Schizosaccharomyces pombe: one gene and its partners. The gene in region 1 interacts genetically with each later gene. Each region holds a gene or a part of one and is shown on either strand. Other genes may lie near its edges.

The links.
Region 2: mutations in SPOM_SPBC1348.12 (region 1) and vps5 together harm fitness more than expected from each alone (negative genetic interaction), as found in Schizosaccharomyces pombe (one large-scale study listed by BioGRID).
Region 3: mutations in SPOM_SPBC1348.12 (region 1) and rga2 together harm fitness more than expected from each alone (negative genetic interaction), as found in Schizosaccharomyces pombe (one large-scale study listed by BioGRID).

The regions. Positions count from the first base shown.
Region 1 is NC_003423.3:33,311-37,220, reverse strand, and holds SPOM_SPBC1348.12 (DNA-binding transcription factor), read right to left. Parts: upstream 2,110-3,910; coding exon 2,050-2,109; intron 2,011-2,049; coding exon 1,609-2,010; exon of another isoform or gene 1,574-1,608; intron 1,474-1,573; coding exon 1,338-1,473; intron 1,294-1,337; coding exon 1,096-1,293; intron 988-1,095; coding exon 632-987; downstream 1-631.
Region 2 is NC_003421.2:700,862-705,604, forward strand, and holds vps5 (retromer complex subunit Vps5), read left to right. Parts: upstream 1-1,735; 5' UTR 1,736-1,745; coding exon 1,746-3,476; 3' UTR 3,477-3,957; downstream 3,958-4,743. Other genes in the region: TATA-binding protein-associated factor TAF6, read right to left, coding at 1-530, 689-820; xks1 (xylulose kinase), read right to left, coding at 4,112-4,315, 4,367-4,743. UniProt on the Schizosaccharomyces pombe protein: Required for efficient sporulation target of PtdIns(3)P in vesicle transport required for onset of the forespore membrane formation. Plays a role in vesicular protein sorting.
Region 3 is NC_003424.3:3,347,317-3,354,320, forward strand, and holds rga2 (putative Rho-type GTPase-activating protein Rga2), read right to left. Parts: upstream 4,943-7,004; coding exon 1,253-4,942; 3' UTR 787-1,252; downstream 1-786. Other genes in the region: Sm snRNP core protein Smb1, read left to right, coding at 1-245; cnt6 (centaurin ADOP ribosylation factor GTPase-activating protein), read left to right, coding at 5,199-5,214, 5,253-5,377, 5,669-7,004. UniProt on the Schizosaccharomyces pombe protein: GTPase-activating protein for Rho-type proteins.

The DNA of each region.
Region 1 (3,910 bases):
TCTATTTGATAGTTCAATCGAACTTCTATTTTTTAGTCCCTATTTAAAATTTTAATCTGAAAACTAGCATCAGCATCTGAAAATCCAGCTAGCCAATGGTTATTTAAAACACTCAGTTGGAATGTGTTTAAACTTAAATTAATAGTTTTACTAAATTCTTTAAATCTAGGTTGAGCAAATATATTATTAATAATCTGATTATATTTACTAGTAGTTCTAAATTTATTATTAATTAAAGTTATTACTCTTTCAATTCCTTTAGAGTTAGCTATTATAAAAAGAATAGCATTTTTATCTTTAATTTTACGTACAATACCAAAATCAAACATATCAAGGAATATATCGTTAAAACTGAAATTTATGTAATTATGATCTTCAAATTCATTATCTCTTAAAACCTTCACATCACTTAAATATTCAGTTTCGAGTATATTTATTTCTTTAAGTTTTTTATTCCTCATGCCTTCACACAAACCACAAGCAGTGAGAAGGGCCTCTTGAGTCATATGACTATGAAAAGTATCGGCAATTTCCTGTAATACTCTTAAAGATTTTCCTAAATACTCATAGATTCGATAGTATCTATGGATAGCAATACGCAAATAGCATGAAAGGGAACATCCACGATCCCCTACCACGCTTTCCTTTGAGAAACTAACTGCTTGCAGCTTTCAAGAGCTCTGTCGATAACAGAGAAAAGGATGGATACAATTACACAAAAAGGTTTAATTCTTGCAAGAAATAAGTTTCGGTACAAGTGAAAACATACCGTTGCTTTTAGCAATACAAGTGCTGGTGAATGAATGTCACAAAGCTGGTCCAGTCTTTGGAATGCTTGTAAATATACAAATCTTGAATCTTCTGATATTATCTGGTACTCCATTATGATTTTAAATAACAATACAAGCTGATAAGCAGGTCCATCCTCTTCAACCATTTGGGTTGTTATGTTCGTTAACTCTATTCCCCTCGTTCCGTATTCAGCTGCTAAAATCCAATTTAAGGATCTAGCAATCCAAAAATTTTTTTCTCTTGACAAAAAAATCTAATCGTTGTTTTCTTCACCATCCTTGTCATTCTCTACCCGTATTTTACTTATCTCCTGATGAAGTCCTACAATTTCTGCATAGTGCATGGAGACAGAAGAAGCAATCCAGGAGAGGTGAGGACGAGTAGTAGCATGTAAGTAAATTGTTCTTAAAACCCAACAAACTGTAAGTTGAATCGATGATAAAATTGTGGTCGACAGTGAACTCTCCAAAACTTGCGTTATATGCTCTACTAGTTTACCCTCTAAAGACTTGTCCGAATCGGACGAAAAAAAAATCCTAGTATACTTACTGAAATCACGACGTACTCAGAGCAGCTATCAGTTGATTTGTTGTCCCATAAGAATTGGATCTTTTTCTCCATGGCTTTTTGATCAAACATGCTAAATATGGGATGAACTTCTTCAAAATATATAAATACGTACTTTAAGTATTTTTCTTTAGTTATTAGTTCCGTCAACTTTGGAAACACATGGTTTTTTTTTTCACTGCGTATTCCCGCATTTCATGCAAATGAATGCAAACGAGAAAGGTAGTTCATTTTTGGTCCTTCTCCTACTATCCGAGGAAATACTATGGCGCTATTTTCATAAAAAAATCGAAATTTCTTGGGTTCATAGTAAGGAACCATAGCTGTAAAGTTCTCAGCTTCATGATGAATATCCATTCTTGGATTGCATTGTGTAAAACTCAACTTCCCGTCACCATCTTCTTTATTATTGTTAGTATCCGAAACAACCTTTATTCTTTTAGACCTGTAATCACTTCCGATTTTAAAGTTCGCATCATTGAACAAGGATGCCTCGGAATTACAGGTAGAAGTCGCTTGGCCCTCATAAGCACATTGGTACTCATATTTTTTACAATATAGGCAAGGGAGTTGCCCATCACATTTTTGCTTTTTAGAGCGACATATTACGCAGGCCTTTTTTGTACGAACGCCATTTTTTAAACATCGCTCCTTTTAATATAAATTTTTTCAAGGAATTCCTACCTACACATGAAAATTTAGGATAAATCTGCTACAATCAAATAAAAAAGAAGCCTTACTAAGATGCATGTAGTTGTCGTTGAAGTTACTTCATATTAGTAATGACGACTAACCAAACTTTAACGAAAGTAACAATGTATTTAATGATGGGTATTTTTCAAATACTTAATAAATGTGCTCTTATGTATGTTTAGTAAAATGGTTAAGTAATAATAATGTAGACATTTTACTTATTGTTATTAATTTAGATTGCAAATAAATGGCTTAAGAAAACATATGTTTCCAATAGTTAACATTCTTAAACTGATATCAAACTTTTTCTCAAATCAAAATTTCAAATTCAAGCTAATAACTAAGTCTTTAAAATTTATAAGCGTTTTTACTAAACGCACGGATTTTTTTACCAAAACGAAAAAAAGATGAAAGGAATAGGTATCATAGCTATCGAGATAAATCCAAGCACGTTTGTAGCCCAGTGGTCGCCTAGATTTAAATACATAGGGCGTGCAACTAAAGTTATGCCACCGCTCACACTATACCGAATTAAGGTCGATGCAGCCAATGCACTTGGCGCCATATGCTGATAGGAATCAATAATGTAATTATAACAAACATAAAATATAACCAATAGAGAGAACCCAAAAAAAGCACTAGATATGATCCGTACTATCCAGTGGATACGATTGGGATAGCAAGTCCAAGCGAACCAAAACATAGAAATGGGGAATAAAAAACATGCAATAAATAAAGGATAAAGCCTGTCTTCCGGACACGTCAGACCGTTTCTTTTCTTAGTAGTTGTTAAATAATGCCAGTAAACCAATGGGGTACAGGAGCCAGCAACAGCCAGTCCTACCCCAACACCAATAAATGATAATCCTTGTTCTCATTGATTGAAGTCGTATTTGGCATATACGATAGGATATCCCTCAAAATTTATGTAACTGATAACATAAATTACAGTTAAATATAATGTAAAACACACCACAATAGGTTCTGTGAAAATCAGGGAAACCGCCTGAGTAGCAGCTTGAACAATTGCATTTTTTGGATCACGTTCGCGTTTGTGAACTGTGTACCATGCAGAATTACCGGTTGTTTTACGTAAGTGTTTTGCTTTATAGTCAAGGATGGTATCTTCGTGAGGTACTGGAAATGCGAGGAACACAACCACAAGAATAGTAGCAGCCCAAATCATGTTGATCCAAAATGTCCATCTCCATCCTAAATAGCTCTGCGAAATAAAATTGCCAATAATTGGTCCAATTATGGGACCTAAATATGGAAAGGTGCATAGTGCGGGAAGAACATAAGTACGTTGGATCGGTGTGAATATATCACTAATTGTTCCTCCGCAATTTGCTAGAGGCGTACTTCCAAAAAAACCCTGAAGAAACCTGAATATGACTAATGACCAAACATTGCTAGCGCAACCACTACCGATTTGAAAAATAATGAAGACAAGCAGAGTTCCAATGTATACAATAAGTCTTCCGTATATACTGCTTAGTGGAGCAAATGGAATAGAGCCTACACCGAAACCGACCAAGAATGTGCACGTTCGCAGAGTGGTAACTAAAATAGAAGATCCAAATCTTCCGATATTTCAACTGTACCAGTGGAGTAAACACTGGAAGCGAAGGTTACAACTATCGTGATAGTGGAAACCTGAATAACGACCCACCATTTTCTAGTGTATGACCAATTTCGAGGATTTAAAGGGTCATTTAAACCACCCCAAGTAACCAAATATGGAACTTGGATTCTCGTATCTACTTTTGAATCATGTGAAAAATCGCTTTTGTTGTCAGTCGATAGCTTTTCGGTAATCTTTCGATTATTTTCATTCAGAGAAAATGATGGATAAACT
Region 2 (4,743 bases), on another chromosome or scaffold:
GATAGGGCAGCATCACGGAGCTCAACATTAGTTTCATCAAGCAATGCACTGGTAATACGCTCAAAATAAAGCTGTAACTCTTTGGATAGCACATGTCGCACCAACGGTTTTATCTCAACGTTGTCCATCGAAGTGACACCGTTTCGAGCTTCTTTAGCAGCAGTTGAAGCACCTGGCATAACCCCTGAAGTACCCTTGGATGCCCATTCTCCAACTGTGTGATCTGAGGGAGTTGGATTTTGAGGAATGGCTGGCTGCACACCTTCGATGGCCAGCCAGTGTGCACTGTAAGAAATGTTTCTAGGGACTTTAGGGAGAGGAGCGTTTATGATTTTTTCAAAATCCACTTCCTCATCATCAAGGTAGTAAAGGGAATTTTGGCCTGCACCTACAGCGGCTTCATGAAATTCTAATGGACGAGAATTATTGAAGCCGTATAACGGCTCAACATTCAACGTCCGTAACGCTGAAGAGATATCTGCGCTAGTTAAAACAGTTCTTTTAGAATGAACCATAAACTTAGTGGCTTCCTAAATCAAATACTGTTAGAGAATTATGTTTAATGTCAGAATAAAGCAGACTATCTAGCAAATTGAAAGGCATCGTAAAAAACTAGCAACAATTTTTTAGTTATTTTAGCCTCTTCCAAAGAAAGTAAAATCTCATAGTCTACTTTCACGAAACCTACCTGAACCACCTGATGAATTCTATATTCGAGATCCATTGCAATAGCTGCTGCTGGTTCATCGGCAAGATTGCCAATCCCAAGCATTTCAGCAACATCTTTGATGGATTCAATATTCCATACTGTCAAGGACATGACTTGGTAGTAAGATGAACGATTTATGGATCAATGAGTGAATTGCATCTGCAGAGAAGTAGTTAACGATGTTAGAAGCAACTGCTTTATTTAACATACTTGTCAGCAATACTACACTACGCTATAATACACTACGTTGCGTATCACTATATGTCACATGTTCTAATTATATATCGTACCATGTATGATACGATATGGAGATTGATCTTAATGATAATCTATTAAGATCTATATTATCTGAATACTATAAATAGAGCTACTGCTGAACCTCGTTCCTCAGTTCAGTTATGAGCTATATTAGTGATAGGTAACATTATAACCCAGTTAATACAATACCTATACTCAGTTGCTACTTATACAACCTGTGTATTGTAATATAATAGATCACAAGGAAAACTCACCGCAGTTCTACGTATCCTTAAATCAGATACCAAACTGCGTAGCTTACAAGACAGTGAGCTACACTAAAATCGCTATTAAACATTACGTTACGCATCAAAATACACTACATGGAATACCAATTAATCTCAATTTGTTGAACAATAGCAGAAGACTATATGTTTGTTTACTAAAACATCCATTGATATTGATATAAAATAGTAGTTAAAATTAGAAGTCTAGATTGAACAGAGCATCATTCTCAGTCCAGTTATTAGCTGTTACAATGATAAATATATTATCACCCACCACTCACAATACTGTATAACGCAATATACTGCTTCTACAAGCTAAATATAATTTAATGTAGCCTTAAAAGGAATTAGAAACTTGAATTGTTGACACTTATCTAGTTGCACCGCAAGTCACCCCGCATTGCTAAACGTATTTAACCATCGTTATTTTTCGCTAGTCGTCGTTGGGCTGCGCATCACCATTTCAGGCACGATTTCAGTGATCAGATCCAAAAACCCAACCGGCCACCATCATGCTTGGGCATAATATATATGAAGAAGACGATGCATTTAATCCATTCGCAGATTCCGTTTCTCCACTGAACCCTCCAAAAACCGACCAAGAGCCCTCAGCTGAAGGAGTGGAAGAAGAGTCGCCGAATGTTCAAGCTTCTCCACCAAAAACTCATATCTATACATCTCCTAGGAAACGAAGCGTCAATTTGAAATCTCTTCCGTTTGAAACGTTAACTTTGGATTCTGCACCTTTAGGTCCCTTGCAATTTTCTGATGCACCTTCTATGGCACCCGAAAACAACCGTTTGGAAGTTGGTTTAAATACAAAAATTAATCCGTTAAAAGGATCTAGTCCCGCTTTGAATGCAGATTTTTCTGCAAATAAGCCTTGGATCTCAGAAGTGAACTCCTTTTCCCCTTCTCCTATCGGAGCAACGGAAAATCCCACTATACCAAATTCAGAACAGACGGTAGATACTTTAGACGCTGCCTCATCTTCTGCTCCAAATTTTACACACACTGTCTCATCTGCCTCCTCCCAGAAGCAAGGTTCAACCTCATTAACAGATACGGAGAATCAGAAGGCGCACCCGGCAGCGGCACCTCAATCTCTTACCCCGTTTTACATCCAAGTTCATGACCCTCATACCGTTAAGGAAATCACTAAATCGCATACCGTATATTCGGTTTCCACTCGTTTAGAGGAACACAATCAACCTTCTGTTAGCAATGTGACTGTACAAAGACGATATAATGATTTTGCTTTTCTTTATCAATTGCTTTCTAATAATCATCCGGGTTGTATCATTCCTCCCATCCCGGAAAAGCAGGTTGTAGGCCGTTTTGATGATGAATTTATTGAACAGCGACGAGCAGCCTTGGAGGTAATGCTTCGCAAAATATCTGCCCATCCGGTTCTACGTGATGATTACTCATTTAAGTTGTTTCTTGAAGCAGAGACATTTGACCCTAGAATGACACATCGTACTACTCTCATTGAGAGTTCATCAAGTCCTTTGCGCTCAGGTCCCTCAACATCTGGTTTACTTGACTCATTCACCTCCGCCTTCCATACCTCTGGATCTTCTAAATTTTCCGAACAGGATCCAATTTTAATTGAAGCAAAGGATACACTTGATTCGTTGGAAACTCAACTAAAGTCGGTTTATCACGCGCTTCTTTTATCCATAGATCAACGCATACAGTTCGCTTCAGCCATCCATGATTTTGGCGAGGCTGTTGGAAATTTATCTTTAGTTGATTTAGAGCCCACCTTATCATCCAAGTTTGATGGTCTTTCCCAACTCCAGGTAGAGCTTCGATTTGTACAAGAACGTAAGGTTGCTCAAGACAATTTGACACTGGGCACTACATTGGAGGAGTACATTCGGTACGTGGAGAGTGCCAAAAATGCCTTTACTACACGTCAAAAGTTGTGGCAGACATGGCAATCTTCAGTTCAAGCTGTTTCTCGTGCTAAAACTCAACTTGAGAAATGTAAAAAGCAAGCGAAATCTCAGCAAAAATCACTCCCTTACTTGGAAGAACAATACGAAAAATATCGAGCAAAAGCTGCTGATCTGGAAAAAGAGTTTTCGGAATCAACAACTCTGTTAAAACGAGATTTGAGTTCTCTCACAACCAGTAGAGTTGATGATCTCAAAGCTAGTGTTGAAACGTGGTTGGAATCTGCAATTGAATCTCAAAAAGAAATTATTGAGCGTTGGGAATCATTTTTGGATCAATAACGACTCTAATTTTCCCTATGCACTCTTTTAATTTTTATGTTTTTCTTTCGTGTAATATTTCTATCCCATATTCGTATTAATGTATTTCCAACTACCGCTTTATTACTTTGCACTTCTCTAGCTGACGATTTCTATTCTATTCTAATTATTTTTTTGCAATTTCCCTTTTCGTCCATGGTACTTCATTACTTGAAAAGAAAATGTACCTTAAAATATTGCATTCTATCTACTAACCTTACAGCAACCCTACACTCCTTTGTAAATAAATAACTTGTGTATGTTTTTAAAAATTGTCTTTGTTACTCAAGCCTTTTTATATTTGTTTATGTTTAAACGCTTTTTCCTGCTTAAATTGTGTTACTTATATGTAAAAGCGTATGCAAAAATTTGTTTAATAATATGGTGTATGACTACTTTATGTTACATATTTATTTGTCTTAATTTAGACTCGTGATTCAAAGCTCTCAAAACGATAGCTCAAAAAAATGTTCATGTAGGAAACGTTTATCATTTTGTATCCTAAGGTTTATTCATATTTTTTAAAAAAAAAAGTGGATTTCGCTTTCATTAATAATCTCGTTATATCAATAGCTAATCACATAATCAAGTGCGAAATGGAAAAGCATTTAATCAATTCAATGCCGGATATCTGACTGTTGAATCGCAATGTCTTCAGCCTTTTTGAGGAAAGGTAAAAGCTTTCCATATTCTTCATAAGTTTGGGCGGATGGTTTATTCATGATTAGTTCAATTTTCTTGGACTCATCCCAAGATTTGTTTACATATTCTTCAAAGGTAAATCCTTTTCCATTCATTGCATATGCAGCCTTGATAGCGCCCTAAATTGATGGTCAGTAACTATTAATTAACAACATTTTCCGTTCACTTACGCCAACAGCACAGGCATTACTACCGCCGTGTTTTAGCCGATAAACATCACATCCCAAAACCTGGCTAATTTTAAACACAATAGCCTCGTTACGACTAGCTCCTCCTACAACATAAACACGATCAGGTTGTGGTATACCAGTTAGCAAAGGAGTAATCCGCATGCGGATATCAAGATTTTGACTTTCAACTATGGCAGAAGCATCCTCATCTGGATAATCCCATGATTCTTCATCTTTATCCACCTGATACAACTCGGTGCCTTGGATTGCAAATCTCCACGTACCCGGTCCAACTGCGGGTAAAATCTCCCTTTGTGGATAAAAAAGACCGAGCTGTTTCTTTTCACCAGCACCTTTAATGTTGGGGTTCAAAATCG
Region 3 (7,004 bases), on another chromosome or scaffold:
TCGTCATTCTTCGTGGTGAGTTTATTGTTTCTCTTTCCGTTCAAGGACCACCTCCCATGGATCCTTCTATGCGTGGTAGTTTATTGAGTGGGCCGGGTGTCGCCAGACCTGCTGGTCGTGGTATTCCTCTTGGTCAAGCGCCCGTTGGTTTGGCAGGACCTGTGCGAGGAGTTGGATATACTGCTCCTCCACCACCTGCTGGTTTTGGACGTGGTGCCCCTCCCCCGGGTTTTCGTCCTGTTTAGGATGGTTCCGTTTGATTCGTTTTCTTTCACCACAGAGCATCCACTATTCGTTCATTAATAGCACGATCAACATCTGATTTTTGTTTTAGTGCGTTTTTGGTTATTTAAAAAGCTTTATAGTCTGCTTTTACGAATCGGTTGACTTGAACCTCATCGGTACTATTCTCATTCGATAACATCATAGTAGGCGCTTTGCTTTTGTGTATTTGTATAAATTAGTTTTTCCAACTTTCATTTTCTAATCCGAGGTTTTATGAGAGTCTCAGCGAGAATGCTTATGCGACTATCGTGAACTCTGTTTACCAATGCTGTTATGGATTAGGTGATACAGGCATAAATTATCCATAAATGGTCTGCTGTCGTCAGTTTGGTATCATCTACAAAACAGTGTTATCTTTTTTGTTTGGTAGTTCGAATATCAAACAAAACTGTACGAAAGCATTCCTTTAAAAAAATGATATTCAGCTAAGAGTGAATATATACGTTTTACTTAGCTATGTCTATATGACCCTTACTAGATTAGTTTATGATATTTAATGTTAGCAATTTTACTTAAAATAACATATAATATTGCTCATTTATCACCGCTCAATAGCAAGAATAGAACGACAATTCATTATACTAATCAAAGAAGAATAAAAATAAAAGAAGATTATAAAGAAAAAACCCGAGCTTCCAACATAAATTGAATATACAATCATAAAAAACCTGCCCAAAATTAGTTATAAGAAGAACTAGAAAAGAATGAACAAACGAAGGGCTAAAATAGTTATAGAGTATTAAAACTTTTAAAAGAAAGAGTAAATTAACGACATCGTACTAAGACGACTGCCGTACATACGAATATTTGGAGAATCCCTGTGTCTCTAAGCATTAAAACAAGAAATAATTCAATAAAGGAATGAACAGGAAGACGAAAGACAAAGGGATAGTAAAACACGTACAACCATTGAAAGTTTAAGTAAACTAACCGTCTCAAGCGTTGACAATTTGTAGACGTTAAATTCCTAGAAAAATTCGTTATCCTCCCCATTGTCATCACTAACATCAGAGTCGCTTTCGTTTTGTGCTCCGTTCGTTTGTCGTGAAATATCTGTGAAGATATGATCATAGTTAAGGATAAGCATCATAAATATATCCGAAGGGATATTTAAAGTAGGAGAAAACACTATACAAACGTTCCTAATGTTCATTTTGTTAACTTTTTCAAAAGCAATAATCCTACGCAAATGATGTAACAGGGAATCCAAAAGGGCAAAATTTTCAGGAGGGAGTTTGCTAATAACATCGCAAAGTTCTCCAAGGGCCGCAGAATCGTTAGGAACATTAGGTAACAGTTCGAATAATTTATGCATAGAAGTGTCTAAGAGGTTGGTAGGTAAATTTCTCAAATACAACTTTAAAAGTCCAGCAATTACATGCACGTCGAATTCCTCGTCTGACGAAAGCAAGTCGTAATCTACTCCTTCATTAAATTGTTCCTTAAGATGTTTAATTGTCGAGGCAGAACCACTTAACCGATAAATACCTTCCTCTTTCTCGGCTCGGCATGATTCCAAGTATTCAATGCATCTGTAGACAACAATTGGCAAACCGCTGTCATTGAATTGAGTAGAAATATTCACCGCTTCATTAAGAGGAAGACCGAATATTCCAGACTTACGGACAATATGTTTCTGTAATGGCTCAGCACTTGTTGTCGAACTTGGTGAAAGCATTACATTTGTTTCGATCACAGGTATATTCGTATCAGATATTTGTTCGTAATTTTCGGCCTTATGATGCGGAAACGCCCAAAATTTCATTCTCGATCTCTTTTCTTCATTTTGCGAATTCTGAGAATGAGAATCGATCAATAACTCTACAGGAGTAGATTGGTCAGTCTTCTCCAGCGAAGGTCTAGAAGACTGGATTTCTATCACGGGGACGTGCTTTTCAGGAGCATCTTGGTTTCGTCTAGTGTCAGCAATCTCTAAAACACTTCCCGTACTACTGTCGAATGACAACTCAGAAACACGATCACTAATCTCAAACTCTCTATGATTTTCTAAAGGCACCTGCTCCATTGAATCCCTTAATTTAGGACTCATGGTTAAATTTGAAACCAAAGAATCATCGGCATAAGAAGCAACATTTTCTGACGGTGGTAAAACGGGAGATGGAGAGCTGGATATATCCTGACTTAAAATTGCTTCTTGACTTACAGGTCTTGAGTCTGCTTTTCCATAAAAACGGATAGGAGAAGATTGATCACGATAACGAGAAGATCCAGGAAAATCAGAAGATAATACAGAGAAGGGACTAGCATTGAGAGGAGAAGTAGAGCCAGGAACCTGTCGAAGTATGGCTCGCAGCCAACTCTTCTGATCTTCAACATCTCTTGCTAAAAGAACGTGAACAGTTGCAGTTCCCGTTCGCGTTTCCGTTTGTTTTTCCTGAATTACAAAAGCGGATTGATAATTTTCACCAGTTAAAAATTCATGAGGAGGATCAATGATAGAAAATATAGGTAAATTGGCATTATAGCGATTCACCTGCGCATCTTTTAAATGGATTGTACCAAGTACTGGAGAATTTCGATTTTCAGCGAAATATAAAATATTGTCCTTTAAATAAAAATAACGTGAAACTAAACCACTGTTTTCAATGTATTTCAAAAGTACCCCCTCCTTTTGAGCATGCTCAGGAGGAAGAAAGAATACATCATGAAGGTATTCTCGTAAAGTGTCACTTGACAAAAATTCTAGTAACTTGATCCTCTGTTCCAACTTAAGATCAGTTTGAAATATATAACGAAAATAGGTATCGACAGAACGGCGTAACAATTCGTTTTGAATTACTGAAGAGTCATTTGTAAACCAATCAAGAGTAGGGAAAGGAGGTGCGCCGATGTCTAAGACGAAAGAAGTAGCAAAGGAACGACATTCTCCGATGCTCCTTGTGAAACTCCATACTTCATCTTTCCATTGTGAAGCTAAATGTGAACTCGCAGAGACACCGACCACGAATTGCAACCCTATGCAATCAAAATCTGGAGATAAAGAAGCCAAACTGGTTTTCATAAGCTCGAAACGAAGATAACGGACTAATGATTCATCCAACCTAAAGCTCAACTTATTGTTGTACAAAGTATCCAAAGGTAACATAGAACCTTTGGAATTCGACGTGGATTTTTCAACTTGACTTGATGGATGATGGTTATGAGATTTCGACTTGCTAAATGGCGAAATCGGTGAGAAGCTGTTGAGTAACCCTTTAGAAGACAATTTTCCTGGAGATTTTTGGCTAGAATTATCAAGTTTCGATGTTGGTATTTCTGCTAGAATGTCATTATCAAAAGATTGTGAATGATGAGGATCGATGACCGTCCAAGTTCTGTTGGAATCCGACCGGCGACGTGTAAAACATATGTCACTATCAGGTATTTTCAAGGTAGAAAATGAGGACCTTCTTGTATCGGATGAGCCAGTCTTTTGAAGAGACAAAGAATCGTTATCTTCTGAAAGTCCACGAGGAGGTAGGCTAGGTTTGTCATCAGGCCTAGGTGTGGTAGAAGACGAAGAAATTGGCGGAGGTGGAGGACTCTCAGTAGGACGCGCAGGGGTTGAATATGCTGGAACATTTGAGGTTGGAGCCAAGAAATTATTTGCTTCCTTATTTTCAATAATGGGAGAATTCGTTTCACTTCGAGCTTGTAAAAGAACATTTTCGGAAACAACTCGAAAATCAGAATGGAATTTACCTGACTTCGAGCTTAAATTATTAGTAGAATGCTTTGGGGAAGATATACCATGCGGTTTTACAATAGATATACTTTTTCTCCTAGGCGATGATGCATTAGCTCTTCCAACTTTTATGTCCAAGAATTGTTGACGAAGTTCGTCCTCAATTTCAGCAAAATGGTCTTGTTTGTTTGAATTGTTATCTTTAGGATCAATAGAAATATTACTGTCCGAGTTAAATGGAGTTGGCTTTGTAATTGGCCTACGAAAAGAAGATGTATTTAATGACAAAGGTGATAAATTGTCAGAACGGATAGAATCAATTCGTTCAGCTGACTCAGTTGATACCGAATAAGTCTTGATTGCTTTATTTCGGAGGGCCTGTATCCGTTCCTTTTGGCTGTCTTTTAATATTGGAGATGTCACTGGTGAAGATGCACCTGGTTCTTCAGATGAACGGTGCGAGCGTTTCGTATTCAATAAAAGTTTTGGTCTGGTCATATCCGACAATCTGTCTAACGACCTGGCCTTGATATCGGTAGTTTTATTATAATTATTTAAAGCAGATAACGAAACAGAACTAGATTTTTCATGGTCTGAAGAGCTAATGTGAGCAGAAGCAGTAGGTACGTCTTTGGAACTTTTCAAAGAAATCTTGGGAAATAATTTCCCCTTCTCATATGGAGAGCTATAAGAGTCCGATTGAGGAGAATTAGCTCTGGACGGTTGACTAGAAGGAAATGAGTCTGTAGACTCATATTTACTCAGTCGCATGCGTAATGAAGTATTATCCTTTTTTACTTTTTCCAAGTCCTTATGCAGCTCGTATATAATTTCTCTTTGCTTATTCACTAGCTTCATTAATCTCTCATTTTGAGATACAATCCCAGAATTATCCTCTTCTTCTTCATCTTCCCAAATCTCTGAATTCAGCTCAATTTTTGAATACTTCTCCAATTCATTTCCTTCTTTCATTATTTTTTCAAATAGAAACGTAGTTTCTGCATGAAAATAAATGATTTCGGCAGAATATGCGAAAGTGGTGATACGGCAAGTTGTGGGCTCTGACCGCAAGAAAAAACCTGTCGTCCGCACAACATCCATCTTTACCATTTGACGAAGAGAACAAGCAGCTTCGTATTGAGAACCCTCAAATTTTTGATTGAGACTCCTTCAAGCTTTGCTGCCGGTTCTCATACCGAATTTATACTAATAGCCCTTTGACCCGGCAATGGACGGAAGTGACTGTATGTTTAATATTTTTACTTTCGTTACTAACGTTTAGCTTTATTGAAATCTGTTGATGTTTCCAAATTAGACAATGGCTCTACCATTTCATTCCGCGCCCGAGAAGATGGGTTTCTAGAGTCAATATCTAGCTCATCAGGAAAATTGGTGGACATGGTTTTGGTATGATATAAAAGCTAAGAGTATCTGAACATTGAGTAAAATATTAAAATAGACACATTTAATAGTGTCGATTCTTTTGTCAAAAAATAGTTATCACTCTTACATCTATTTATAAGTCCATTCTTTTGAACTGGATAACACAGACTAATGAATGACAATAACTACAAGACAAACAGATATAGTCTATGATTTTATCCAAAAGGAGCAACTGGAGCAAGCCCATTGTGCATTCGTGTTGCTCGAAGATGTTCTTATTTCCATATACGATTTTACTAACTTTGTAAAAATTAGGATTCTACATCAAAAGAGTGCCTCCCTAAGTTTAGTTTTCAAAACAAGCTAGACTTCTACTTTTTATTCAGTGATCGTGTTCTCCAGTTGCAGAAGGAGAGGAAAGTACTTGTACTCATCCATTGCGAATCGCTTCAATCGTTTGATTCTTTTTTTGCTCAGAAGTTGAAATATGCAGACTTAATTTCTTCGGATAATGTACATGAAATTTTTTTACCAGATTCAAATGCGGCCAATATCAGATATCATTGGGAGTGGTCACCTCCTTCGGGTAAACTTCTGGAGTATGAATGCAAAAACTATTCTTGCATAGCCGTTTACTCTACTGAAGACTGTACTCTTGAACGTATCTCAAAATTTAGCTACTACACCGTATCTCGTTGCGGTGATTCTATGGATGATACATTTTTTTCGGAAAGCCAGCGTGTCACGTCGCCGCTAACTACTAGCCAGACGGTACAAACCCAACCTCCTCAATCTCCGGAAGCGAAGACGGAGCTTTCATTGATTAATACCAAGACCGTTATATTCCCAGAGAATTATGAGGATGGACCGTCATTCCGATCTATGTTGCATGAGCTTGAGCAAAAATCATCTCTTATGAAGTATTATTGCAAAAAAATAATGAAACGTATTGTCCAATTAAGTGATGCATACGATGCATCGCAAGTTGCTGTTATGAAATTGTCAGAGACACTTTCGGAAGCTTCTAATAGCACCAGTATGAATATGGACATACTTCTGGACAGTTATTTAACCAAGGCTATGGACATTCATGCCACCTTTATACAAAAACTTAATTATGATTTAATTAATCTTTTATATGAGCCATTTCATAACATTTACTCAAGCTTCATTAAGCCAATTGATGATAGACGACTTGAATTTGATGAACAAAGCAAAAGCTTTTATGGATCTTTGTCGCGTTATCTATCAGCTAAAAAGGACAAAAAGGGAGGAGACTCTAAATTTTTTCAAAAAGAGAAAACGTTTGCCTTACAACGATATGATTACTATTGTTTTATGCAAGACCTTCACGATGGTTCCATTATTAATGATATTAACGGTATTTTTTTGCAGTACTTTCATCGCCAATATGACCATATTGCACTTTTTAGTAATTTGATGAATAGTGTTCTTCCGAATCTTCAGCAACTCAATTTAAAACTTGAAAAAACAAAATGGAGTACAACCAGACGTGACAAGGGCAGAGAGATGCATCGTTCCCAGGTAATTCAAACTAGCGGTCGTCCAAAGTCCATGGCACCGCCTTCACCATCTCCGATTTCCCCTTCTTTCCCTTTACATGAAATACAGAGTCCTATGCCAAATCGTC